2 linked regions of the Xenopus tropicalis genome follow. The protein of the gene in region 1 interacts with the protein of each later gene in a pairwise test. Links are inferred from orthologs where the notes say so. Each region holds a gene or a part of one and is shown in the gene's direction. Other genes may lie near its edges.

Region 1 (6,807 bases):
GTGAGTGCCCATACACGAGAGTGCCCCTACACGTGAGTATCCGTGGGTGAGTGCCCGTATGTGCCCATACACGTGAGTGCCTGTATACGTGAGTGCCCGTAGGTGAGTGCCCCTGTATGCGAGTGCCCCTGTATGCGAGTGCCCCTGTATGCGAGTGCCCCTGTATGCGAGTGCCCCTGTATGCGAGTGCCCCTGTGTGCGAGTGCCCCTGTGTGCGAGTGCCCCTGTATGCGAGTGCCCATACACGAGAGTGCCCCTACACGTGAGTATCCGTAGGTGAGTGCCCATGTACGCGAGTGCCCATGTACGCGAGTGCCCATGTACGCGAGTGCCCATGTACGCGAGTGCCCATGTACGCGAGTGCCCGTAGGTGAGTGCCCCTGTACACGAGTGCCCGTAGGTGAGTGCCCATACACGCGAGTGCCCCTATACGTGAGTGCCCGTAGGTGAGTGCCCATATATGTGTGAGTGCCCGTAGGTGAGTGTGCCCCTTCCTGCCGTTGCAGCGCACGTGGAGCTGGTGAAGAAGGCGATGGCCGGGGTGACGCTCCCCTCCCTGTCGGTGCCGCTGTGGGCGGAGCAGATTTCCGACGCAGACTGGGAGCATCTGGTTCATCAGACGATCCAATCACGAGCAGCGGCCCCTCCGTCTGGCAAGAAATAATTGCCCCCCCGGCTGGGGCTCTTCTTATTGGACAATCGTTTTGGGCTGGGGCGGTTGTGTATTGGTGCAGGGAATAGGACCCCCCCAGCCCGGCAGCGCATGGTACAGTCCATATGGGGTGTTTGTTCCTCTCACTATGTGGGGGCTCCCCCCGACCAACCGCAACTGGGTCAGGGTTAACCCTCGCAGTACCGAGCCAATAAATGTTATGTGCACAAACCCCACCCTGGTCAGTGTGTGTGTGTGGGGGGGCTTTATTGTTATATATATATATAGTGCCTTCGTCTGTTGTGCGGCCCATTCCCATCAGCCCCTGCCCCAGTGAGCTTACAATCTAAGGTCCCTATCCCATTCCCATCAGCCCCTGTCCCAGTGAGCTTACAATCTAAGGTCCCTATCCCATTCCCATCAGTCCCTGCCCCAGTGAGCTTACAATCTAAGGCCCCTATCCCATTCCCATCAGTCCCTATCCCAGTGAGCTTACAATCTAAGGTCCCTATCACATTCCCATCAGTCCCTGCCCCAGTGAGCTTACAATCTAAGGTCCCTATCCCATTCCCATCAGCCCCTGCCCCAGTGAGCTTACAATCTAAGGTCCCTATCCAATTCCCATCAGCCCCTGCCCCAGTGAGCTTACAATCTAAGGTCCCTATCCCATTCCCATCAGCCCCTGCCCCAGTGAGCTTACAATCTAAGGTCCCTATCCCATTCCCATCAGCCCCTGCCCCAGTGAGCTTACAATCTAAGGCCCCTATCCCATTCCCATCAGCCCCTGCCCCAGTGAGCTTACAATTTAAGGTCCCTATCCCATTCCCATCAGCCCCTGCCCCAGTGAGCTTACAATCTAAGGCCCCTATCCCATTCCCATCAGCCCCTGCCCCAGTGAGCTTACAATCTAAGGCCCCTATCACATTCCCATCAGCCCCTGCCCCAGTGAGCTTACAATCTAAGGTCCCTATCACATTCTCATCAGTTCCTGCCCCAGTGAGCTTACAATCTAAGGGGGTGGAGCTTGACGCTAGACCAGGAAGTAGCTGTGGGAGTTGCAGTTGGTGCAGAATCTACATGAGCCTATAGCCCTGGGTGAGTGTGTGGGTTCTTTATGGGGGTATTTCTGCCCCATCAGTGCCCATACAGACTCCCCCCAGTTCCATGTGACAGCTGCCGAGCAGGGACAGACTGCTGCAAATCAGCATTTCCTCATTACGTTCCTTACAGTTGGAACCGACAGTTTAACCCTCTGAGATCTGAGTTGTTTGTAGCCTCCCCCTAAACCCTGATACTGAACAGTCTTTGTCTTCAGATCTGTTGAGAGTTGCTGTGAGGATCCCACGCTGTCACTGAGGAGAGTCAGAAGCACAACTTGCAATTTCCTCTACAAGTTAATAATGTGCCAGGGAATTATACTCCTCTGTATACAGAAGGACTGTGCTTAAAATAAAGTTGTGTTTCCAGCTGATTTATTGAGAAATTCCCCCCAAACCCCACTAGCCCCGCCCATCTGTGCCACTTCCTGCCGCCTCCTTTCCCCCCAAAACTCCACTAGCCCCGCCCATCTGTGCCACTTCCTGTCGCCTCCTTTCCCCCCAAAACCCCACTAGCCCCGCCCATCTGTTCCACTTCCTATCGCCTCCTTTCCCCCCAAAACTCCACTAGCCCCGCCCATCTGTGCCACTTCCTGTTGCCTCCTTTCCCCCCAAAACCCCACTAGCCCCGCCCATCTGTTCCACTTCCTATCGCCTCCTTTCCCCCAAACCCCACTAGCCCCGCCCATCTGTGCCACTTCCTGTTGCCTCCTTTCCCCCCAAAACCCCACTAGCCCCGCCCATCTGTTCCACTTCCTATCGCCTCCTTTCCCCCCAAACCCCACTAGCCCCGCCCATCTGTGCCACTTCCTGCTGCCTCCTTTCCCAGACTGTGCAGGGGGGCGGCGGCACTGTAGGATAGGAGCCAATCAGCAGCTAGGCTGACCTGATAGGGAACTGAAGCCTGTCTGTGCTCGTGTGAGTGCAGGGCTGTGATTGGCTCTCCCCCTCCTACAGGGACCATTAGGACACGCCCACCCCCCATATGAAACCCAGACAGGGACCTGAGAGGATCTATAGGGATCTCCAATAAAGGGGCCATTGGTACAGATAGGGTTAATGTTTAGCCCAAAGGGAAACCAGCACCGGGTATTATTCATATAATGAATACAGGGTTAGGGGTTTCCTTTAATTCCCTTTCTCCTGATTGGACACAGAAGTGAAGTTGAAGGGTTAAAGCCCCCCCCCCGGGCTGTAGGGAACAGTGTTACTGGGAACTATTCCCCGCCACAAGGAACAAACTGACAGGGAGGGGCGGTTCCCGGGCCGGACTCCCCCCATTTCCACTCATGGAACATTCCCCCCAAGCGGCCCCGCCCCGGTGACGTCACACTCTCGCAGGATGAGAGTCCTAACTCCGCCCCCGGCGGGATGTAAATGGACTTTTGTACCTGGCCGGGGGCGGAGCCTGTGTGGGGGGGAATGGGCAGCAGAGGATGATGGGAGAGGAGGCGCTGGGGGAGACGAATGGGCAGCAGAGGATGATGGGAGAGGAGGCGCTGGGGGAGAGACCCTGGGCCCTCACGGCTCCCGTACTGTCCAGCTTTGCCCGGGAAGTTGCGCCCCGCAGGCTCCGTGTGGCCCCTATAGATGCCGAGGCCATGGTGCGGGCAGGGAGGCTGCAGGAGTTGGGGGGCCCGGTGGATCGGGGGGCGGCTGTGTGGGTCACTAAGAGCCAACTGCGGGACTTGGGCTTCTTCCACCGGGAGTGGGTGTGGGTATGGGCGGTGCCGGGGGGGGAGGGGCAGGGGGGGCACCTCGCCATCATATTGGCTACTGAGTTCTGCTGGGGGCAACCTGACAAGTACCGGCACCTTCTCAGCAACTTGTCTGCCCCCCCTGGCACCTACCCCCATAGTACCCTCCCCCCTGGCACCTACCCCCATAGTACCCTCCCCCCTGGCACCTACCCCCATAGTACCCTCCCCCCTGGCACCTACCCCCATAGTACCCTCCCCTATGGCTTCCCCACTGGCACCCACACTGCCCTCATCTCTGCCCCCCTCCTCTTTAACCTGGCGCCCCGGACTCGGCCTCTCAGTGAGATTCTCATACAGGTGAGAGCACCCGGTGCCAGATACCCCCGTGTGGGGCAGCTTGTACCCACTTACCCTATTGCTTTAGTTTCTCTGGGTATTGGTTGTACTAAACAGGATCTAGGAATAATAGTAGATAGCAGATTGGGTATAACTCACTGATACAGGGGTACAAGTATAATTCTGTGTATAAATCAGTAATGGGAGGGGATCTAGGAATAATAGTAGATAACAGATTGGGTATAACCCACTGATACAGGGCTACAAGTATAATTCTGTGTATAAATCAGTAATGGGAGGGGATCTAGGAATAATAGTAGATAACAGATTGGGTATAACCCACTGATACAGGGGTACAAGTATAATTCTGTGTATAAATCAGTAATGGGAAGGGATCTAGGAATAATAGTAGATAACAGATTGGGTATAACCCACTGATACAGGGGTACAAGTATAATTCTGTGTATAAATCAGTAATGGGAGGGGATCTAGGAATAATAGATAACAGATTGGGTATAACCCACTGATACAGGGGTACAAGTATAGGTCTGTGTATAAATCAGTAATGGGAGGGATCTAGGAATAATGGTAGATAACAGATTGGGTATAACTCAATTCAGTGTATAAATCAGTAATGGGGAGGGATCTAGGAATAATAGTAGATAACAGATTGGGTATAACACACTGATACAGGGGTACAAGTATAATTCTGTGTATAAATCAGTAATGGGAGGGGATCTAGGAATAATAGTAGATAACAGATTGGGTATAACCCACTGATACAGGGCTACAAGTATAATTCTGTGTATAAATCAGTAATGGGAAGGGATCTAGGAATAATAGTAGATAACAGATTGGTTATAACCCACTGATACAGGGGTACAAGTATAATTCTGTGTATAAATCAGTAATGGGAAGGGATCTAGGAATAATAGTAGATAACAGATTGGGTATAACCCACTGATACAGGGGTACAGGTATAGGTCTGTGTATAAATCAGTAATGGGAGGGATCTAGGAATAATAGTAGATAAGAGATTGGGTATAACCCACTGATACAGGGGTACAGGTATAGGTCTGTGTATAAATCAGTAATGGGAGGGATCTAGGAATAATAGTAGATAACAGATTGGGTATAACCCACTGATACAGGGGTACAAGTATAATTCTGTGTATAAATCAGTAATGGGAGGGGATCTAGGAATAATAGTAGATAAGAGATTGGGTATAACTCACTGATACAGGGGTACAAGTATAATTCTGTGTATAAATCAGTAATGGGAAGGGATCTAGGAATAATAGTAGATAACAGATTGGGTATAACCCACTGATACAGGGGTACAAGTATAATTCTGTGTATAAATCAGTAATGGGAGGGGATCTAGGAATAATAGTAGATAAGAGATTGGGTATAACTCACTGATACAGGGGTACAAGTATAATTCTGTGTATAAATCAGTAATGGGAAGGGATCTAGGAATAATAGTAGATAACAGATTGGGTATAACACACTGATACAGGGGTACAAGTATAATTCTGTGTATAAATCAGTAATGGGAGGGGATCTAGGAATAATAGTAGATAACAGATTGGGTATAACCCACTGATACAGGGCTACAAGTATAATTCTGTGTATAAATCAGTAATGGGAGGGATCTAGGAATAATAGTAGATAACAGATTGGGTATAATTCAGTGTATAAATCAGTAATGGGGAAGGATCTAGGAATAATAGTAAATAACAGATTGGGTATAACTCGTATAATTCAGTGTATAAATCAGTAATGGGGAGGGATCTAGGAATAATAGTAGATAACAGATTGGCATAACTCACTGATACAGGGGTACAAGTATAATTCTGTGTATAAATCAGTAATGGGAAGGGATCTAGGAATAATAGTAGATAACAGATTGGGTATAAATCACTGATACAGGGGTACAAGTATAATTCTGCGTATAAATCAGTAATGGGAGGGATCTAGGAATAATAGTAGATAAGAGATTGGGTATAACTCATAATTCTGCGTATAAATCAGTAATGGGAGGGATCTAGGAATAATAGTAGATAACAGATTGGGTATAACTCATAATTCAGTGTATAAATCAATAATGAGAGGGATCTAGGAATAATAGAAGATAACAGATTGGGTATAACTCACTGATACAGAAGGGATCTAGGAATAATAGTAGATAACAGATTGGGTATAACCCAATGATACAGGGGTACAGGTATAATTCTGTGTATAAATCAGTAATGGGAGGGATCTAGGAATAATAGCAGATAACAGATTGGGTATAACCCACTGATACAGGGGTACAGGTATAGGTCTGTGTATAAATCAGTAATGGGAGGGATCTAGGAATAATAGTAGATAACAGATTGGGTATAACTCACTGTTACAGGGCTACAAGTATAATTCTGTGTATAAATCAGTAATGGGAGGGGATCTAGGAATAATAGTAGATAACAGATTGGGTATAACTCACTGATACAGGGGTACAAGTATAATTCTGTGTATAAATCAGGAATGGGAGGGGATCTAGGAATAATAGTAGATAACAGATTGGGTATAACTCACTGATACAGGGGTACAAGTATAATTCTGTGTATAAATCAGGAATGGGAGGGGATCTAGGAATAATAGTAGATAACAGATTGGGTATAACCCACTGATACAGGGGTACAAGTATAATTCTGTGTATAAATCAGTAATGGGAGGGATCTAGGAATAATAGTAGATAAGAGATTGGGTATAACCCACTGATACAGGGGTACAAGTATAATTCTGTGTATAACTCAGTAATGGGAGGGGATCTAGGAATAATAGTAGATAACAGATTGGGTATATAAAAGGGGAGGGTACTAGAGAGACCAAGGCAGCCATGCTTGATATGGGGGCAGGGCTGTGGCTAGTAGGTGTGGCTTTAGGCACATTGCTTTGTGCTGAAAGAGAGAAAAGGGGGAGGGGCCTCATTGCATTATTTTTTTCCTTAGAGGTTCTGTTCTGACACATTGGAGGGAGG
Region 2 (6,691 bases), on another chromosome or scaffold:
GCAGCAGGGAAATAGAATATACAGTATATACTATATATGAGGGAAAGCTCATACCATAAGTTTCTATTGCAAAACAGGGGGCAGCAGGGGTATCTTGGGCAGAAAAGGTCTGTGCACTCCATTTATCTACTCCATTTATATTTTTTCAATGAAATGTAAATGTTATGGGGTTCTCCCATGTTGTTTGTTGCTTTGTTGAAGAAAGGGCTACATTTCAATAAAATTCCTCCCTGCGCTACCAGACTTCCCTGACTCCTGTGATATCTATGGACCTGCCGGCTCAGCCGGAGCCCGAGAGCATTTGGTGACAGCTGGCGTGTGTGGGTAGCGCTCCTGGTGCGGATCAGAGTTGCCTCCTTAGAGCACATTCAGCCGACCGCCACGCCTCAAAGGGAATGTAAAAGAAAGTGAGTTTTAAAGGGGAACTCCACCCAAACATTGTGTTCTTTGCATATTGTAATTCTAAGCAGTTTCCCAATATACCTTCATTACACCTTTCAATGAATTGATAGATATTTGTCAATGTAATGGCTATTAAACAGTATCTTTGACTGTTTATACTCTCTGTGTGTTCCGACTCCTGAATCACTGTAGAAGAAGCCAGCTTATTAACAGTCCCTTTAGTTTGCTTATTATCTGTGCAGAGAGATAACATCAATTCATTTGGTTCCCTTTGGGTATTGCTTTACATTAACCACACTACATGAGACTACAGGTATGGGACCTATTATCCAGAATGCTTGGGACCTGGGGTTTTCCGGATAAGGGATAGTTCCGTAATTTGGGATCAAGTACGGGTACTTTTTTTTTTATTACACAGAATCATTTAACCATTAATCAAACCCAATAGGGCTGTTCTGCCCCCAATAAGGGGTAATTATATCTTAGTTGGGATCAAGTACAGGTACTGTTTTATTATTACAGAGAAAAGGGAATCATTTAACCATTAAATAAACCCAATAGGGCTGTTCTGCCCCAATAAGGGGTAATTATATCTTAGTTGGGATCAAGTACAGGTACTGTTTTATTATTACAGAGAAAAGGGAATCATTTAACCATTAAATAAACCCAATAGGGCTGTTCTGCCCCAATAAGGGGTAATTATATCTTAGTTGGGATCAAGTACAGGTACTGTTTTATTATTACAGAGAAAAGGGAATCATTTAACCATGAAATAAACCCAATAGGGCTGTTCTGCCCCAATAAGGGGTAATTATATCTTAGTTGGGATCAAGTACAGGTACTGTTTTATTATTACAGAGAAAAGGGAATCATTTAACCATGAAATAAACCCAATAGGGCTGTTCTGCCCCAATAAGGGGTAATTATATCTTAGTTGGGATCAAGTACAGGTACTGTTTTATTATTACAGAGAAAAGGGAATCATTTAACCATGAAATAAACCCAATAGGGCTGTTCTGCCCCCAATAAGGGGTAATTATATCTTAGTTGGGATCAAGTACAGGTACTGTTTTATTATTACAGAGAAAAGGGAATCATTTAACCATTAAATAAACCCAATAGGGCTGTTCTGCCCCCAATAAGGGGTAATTATATCTTAGTTGGGATCAAGTACAGGTACTGTTTTATTATTACAGAGAAAAGGGAATCATTTAACCATTAAATAAACCCAATAGGGCTGTTCTGCCCCCAATAAGGAGTAATTATATCTTAGTTGGGATCAAGTACAAGTTACTGTTTTATTAATACATTTTTAAAAATTAGAACTATTTGGTAATAATGGAGTCTATGGGAGATGGCCTTAAATTCGGAACTTTCTGGATAACGGGTTTCCGGATAAGGGATCCCATACCTGTATTTGGTCTTCTTTTTTTTATTATTTGTGGTTTTTGTATTATTTAGCTTTTTGTTCAGCAGATCTCCAACAGGTATCTGGTTGCTAGGGTCCAAATGAACCTAGCAACCAGGCAGGGGTTTGAATGGGAGGGATATGAATAGGAAATGGGCTAAACAATAACTAATAAGACAATAAAATTGTAAAACCAGAACAATAGTTTTTGGCTGCTGGGGGTCAGTGACCCCCTTTTGAAAACTGGAAAGAATCAGAAGAAGGCAAATAATTCAAAAACTATAAGGAATACAAAATGAAGACCAATTGCTATGTGGTTGTTAGGACTTGATTACCCTAGCAACAAGGGAGCAGTTTGGAAGATCAATAGCAGAGCCTGAAACAAATTAAATTGAACCTGTACAGTACCGATTCAGTGAACTATATGTGGGCAAAGCTGACCTGCACCTAAGGTGGCAATTGTTTGGGCCAAACCTGCCCCCACACAATAGTACCCCCTCTTTCTCCCTGACAACAGGAGAAGGGTATGGCACAATAGAGATTGGCAGAATGGCAGACCCAGCCATAGCATGGCACCAGCTAAAACACAAGGCTCTGCCTCATACACACTTTAAAAAACAAAGCAGTATATTGTTTTATTTAGATATTAAGTTTTCCTTTCAGTAAGGGCCCCTCCCCTTCCCCACACAACTGCCCCTGCTACACTGCTATCCCTCTGTGTCTTTGCCACAACTCCATACGAAGTACTCGGCCTATCGTTTGCAAGGATACTGTCACATGGTTCTGCGACCCAATCAGATCCTTAGCAGGCATTGAGCTAGAACTTCCGGTCTGTGGAGCTTATGCGTTCCACCTGTCAGTGTGTCACAGTCAGAACTTCCGGTCTGTGGAGCTTATGCGTTCCACCTGTCCGTGTGTAAATGTCAGAAAGGTGCAGTTGTAATAGTGGAATTGTGGGTGAGGGGTGGACCTATGTTGTGTTTATGGCAAGGGGGGAATGCTGTTCTGTTCTGGGACTAATTCAGTGAGATAAGGTTTTGCTGTCTGTCCAGTCTGTGCTCTTTAACCTGTAATAACTGTGTGCAGGAAGTGTATTATTATTTAGGGGGAGGACATATTGCAGGGCAGGGAAGGTTGGTTACAGTAAAGTGTGGGGGCTTAGACGTAAAGACACTAAAAAAAACTCTCTTTCGTACGCAATATTAAATTGTACATGTTCTCTTCCCTTGTTAGCAGGAACCCCATGGCAGTTGCAGAAAATGTGTCCAGCTGTTCGCTAAGCGCTATGTGGGATTGGTCGCATCTGTCATTGTCTGGGACCCCCCCTGCCGTGCCGCTGTTGGACGCAGCTGCCGACCTGCTGGTGCTGGAGAGAAACTTTGCAGCTTCCCTTGGAATCTGTGAGAGAGGCCTACAGATCCTGTCTGCTGAACCAACAGATGCAAAGTGAGTTGCTTTGAGTTCCCTTTCTCTCATCACAAAGTGTATAGAAGTAATGGGGAAGCACTCACCCCAAATCTCCCCCTAACTGGCCTTCAGGTTGGGCCCCCTTAGCCCATAACAAGGTTACAGATATATAGAAACATTGGGGTAACAGTCACCCCGCTATAGTTCCAGGGGTACCCAGGGCACAAATAAGCACTCACCCCAAATCCCCCCCTAACTGGCCTTCAGGCTGGGCCCCCTTAGCCCATAACAAGGTTACAGATATATAGAAACATTGGGGTAACAGTCACCCTGCTATAGTTCCAGGGGTACCCAGGGCACAAATAAGCACTCACCCCAAATCTCCCCCCTAACTGGCCTTCAGGCTGGGCCCCCTTAGACCATAACAAGGTTACAGATATATAGAAACACTGGGGTAACAGTCACCCTGCTATAGTTCCAGGGGTACCCAGGGCACAAATAAGCACTCACCCCAAATCCCCCCCTAACTGGCCTTCAGGCTGGGCCCCCTTAGCCCATAACAAGGTTACAGATATATAGAAACATTGGGGTAACAGTCACCCTGCTATAGTTCCAGGGGTACCCAGGGCACAAATAAGCACTCACCCCAAATCCCCCCCTAACTGGCCTTCAGGCTGGGCCCCCCCTTAGCTTCAAGGAGTTTACCTTTACCTTAACTTTTAGAATGCTGTAAACAGTTTTGTTCTGAGACTATTTGCAGTTTTTGATTTGTTTATTATTTAATGTTCAGTCTGACGTGTCCTTTATCCTTGAGGTGTGAGCAGGTGAAGACGTCTCTCTGTGTCGTTGCGATTCAGTGTCTGGTTGAGTTGGGAAGATGGAGGGAAGTGCTTCCTTGGCTAATTCAGTATTACCAAACCCCACAGGAGATGCCTTACAATATTATGGAGATGTGGTGAGTGAGTATATCATATATCAAGCCTTTCCTTACTATAAGCGCTGCTTTTGTCGTAGACTTTAGATTGCAGTCTGCATCATGGTAGAATTGGGGTCTTGGTTTAGATTGTACTTTTAACACTAAATAAATTGAGCTTGCCATGTAGTTTTGAGGGGCTTCTTCCGCCAGTCCAGAAACATACAGGTAGGGGGCATTAATACATTAATATCCCTTGTGCCTACACTGATATTAAATGTATATACTGCCCCCTGATCCCTAAACGTCTGTATATTTTCATTGTATTCTCTTTTTTTTTTTTTTTAGCATTTTGTTGTATGGGAAGGTAAAGCAGCCACAAGTTATGCTGGAAGTAAGTAGTGATTGGTTGCAAGTCCAAGCCAATCGGCTACTGCCAAACTGCTGCAGGGTTGCAGAGCTCCATCTGCTGCACATACTACTACCCCTGGGGCTGTTTTCTGATGCTGAAGTGCTGGCTCAGGATTCGGATGTATTCACGGAAAAGCAGAGGCACATAGCCTTGGCGCTTGTGAGCGAACACAGGAGACAGTGGGAAGAGTATGAAGCTGCTGCCGCTACAGAGAGGGACGAGCACAGCCAATCAGAGTCAATGGGACGAACTGGTATGAACATTCCTGCCAATCAGATCCACCCATACTGTGAACACTTGCACTGCAGCCCCGGCAGACTGTCTGTAGAAGAGTCTACAATTGCAGCAGTTGGGTCGTAAAAACACAGATAGGTGGCCATACACGTAAAGATCCGCTCACCTGGCAAGGTCGCCAAGCGAGCAGATCTTCTCCCAATATCCCCACCTACAGGTGGGTAATATCGGGTGAATTAAGCTAATTCAGTTGTTTGGCCCTGGGGCCAAACAATCAAATTATAACGACTGGAATAGGCGCAGTTAGTTCGGGGACCGCATCAACGAGCCGATGCGGTCCCCGATCTGACTAAATTTTTTAACCTGCCCGATCGATATCTGCCCGATTTCAGGCCAGATGTTGGTCAGGCAGGCCAGATGTTGGTCAGGCAGGCCAGATGTTGGTCAGGCAGGCCAGATGTTGGTCAGGCAGGCCAGATGTCGTTCAGGCAGGCCAGATGTTGTTTCCCCTACACGGGCCGATAACCTGCCGAATCGGTCCATATCGGCAGCTACAATCGGCCTGTGTATGGGCACCTTAAGAGACTGTGCAATTTTGAATGAGTATTTAAACCCGTTTATTGCTGGGCAGCAGTGAATCGGTGGGTAGGCTAGGGCATTTCCCAGTCCTGTTCACATAGATGGTTGCAAGCTCTGAAAAGCAAATGTTTGACCTGAATAATGGTGCCCATAGGCGAAGCCATAGGGTGGTGGGGAGGGTGGGCTGCTGGTTGCCCATTGTTGCCTTTCTAACCTGCCCAAGTGTACCACCATCCCATCATGTATAATAATAGTAACATAGTAAGTTAGATTGAAAAAAGACACCCACTCCCTTCTTCTAAACGGAGTGGGTGCCCTCGTGTCCGTTGGAAGGCCCTACTGGTAAATAAAGCATTAGAGAGGTTATTATATGATCCCCTTATATATTTATACATAGTTATCATGTCCCCCCTTAAGCGCCTCTTCTCCAGTGTAAACAAACCCAACCCAGTCTTTTTTCGCAACTGAGACTTTTATAACTAATCCTTTCTATCGTTGCAGGTAAGGTACAGACAAGAATCCAAAATGTGGCCCATCTGCTGTTAAGGGCTCTGGGTATGATTGCAGGAATAATACGTAGGACCCCTTTCCGGAATGCAGCCCTCGCTGTTTTACTCATCACTATTATTCTACTGCGATTGGACCCGGGTAAGTCGTTATTGTCCGGAGAACCATCTGATTGTATTAACGGATGTCTGAGCCATACATTTTCGCTCATATCAGCTTACGGGCTGATAAACTGGTTTGGTATATTTTCATGGAGCGCAGGAGGTGTGACCCTTTAACATGTTTGTGGTAATTGACAAATTGGGCCTGGTGAAGGAATTCTAATAGCTATAAATTATACCGGACCCTTGGCAATTCTGCAATAGATATTCTTATAAACTATGATGCGTCAGTTTTATCTAGTACTTAATTATGTACTTTGTTACATGTTGTTCATTGACCTGTATAAAACAGCCTTGTGCCTTTATATGGTCACAGAACCCCTCAGTGACTGCTAATATCCTTATCATTTACAGTAGGGGGTACATCATCCCTTATAATACATGAGTGATACTCAGAGTTCCCTGTATAACTCAGCCTGCAGCCTTGTGCCTTTATATGGGCACAGAACCCCTCAGTGACTGCTAATATCCTTATCATTTACAGTAGGGGTACATTATCCCTTATAATACATGAGTGATACTCAGAGTTCCCTGTATAACTCAGCCTGCAGCCTTGTGCCTTTATATGGGCACAGAACCCCTCAGTGACTGCTAATATCCTTATCATTTACAGTAGGGGTACATTATCCCTTATAATACATGAGTGATACTCAGAGTTCCCTGTATAA

Evidence for each region. The genes of interacting proteins can lie anywhere in the genome.
Region 2: the proteins of pex6 (region 1) and pex26 come close enough for resonance energy transfer, tested with the Homo sapiens proteins (2 studies listed by BioGRID). The link is inferred for Xenopus tropicalis from reciprocal best matches to the Homo sapiens genes PEX6 and PEX26.

Annotation. Positions count from the first base shown.
Region 1 is NC_030681.2:308,759-315,565, reverse strand, and holds the start of pex6 (peroxisome biogenesis factor 6), read left to right. Parts: upstream 1-3,098; 5' UTR 3,099-3,185; coding exon 3,186-3,806; intron 3,807-6,778; coding exon 6,779-6,807. Other genes in the region: mea1 (male-enhanced antigen 1), read left to right, coding at 507-664. UniProt on the Homo sapiens protein: Component of the PEX1-PEX6 AAA ATPase complex, a protein dislocase complex that mediates the ATP-dependent extraction of the PEX5 receptor from peroxisomal membranes, an essential step for PEX5 recycling.
Region 2 is NC_030679.2:8,464,092-8,470,782, forward strand, and holds the start of pex26 (peroxisome assembly protein 26), read left to right. Parts: upstream 1-2,761; 5' UTR 2,762-2,793; coding exon 2,794-2,834; exon of another isoform or gene 2,835-2,844; intron 2,845-3,043; coding exon 3,044-3,256; intron 3,257-4,031; coding exon 4,032-4,172; intron 4,173-4,478; coding exon 4,479-4,795; intron 4,796-5,856; coding exon 5,857-6,003; intron 6,004-6,691. UniProt on the Homo sapiens protein: Peroxisomal docking factor that anchors PEX1 and PEX6 to peroxisome membranes. PEX26 is therefore required for the formation of the PEX1-PEX6 AAA ATPase complex, a complex that mediates the extraction of the PEX5 receptor from peroxisomal membrane.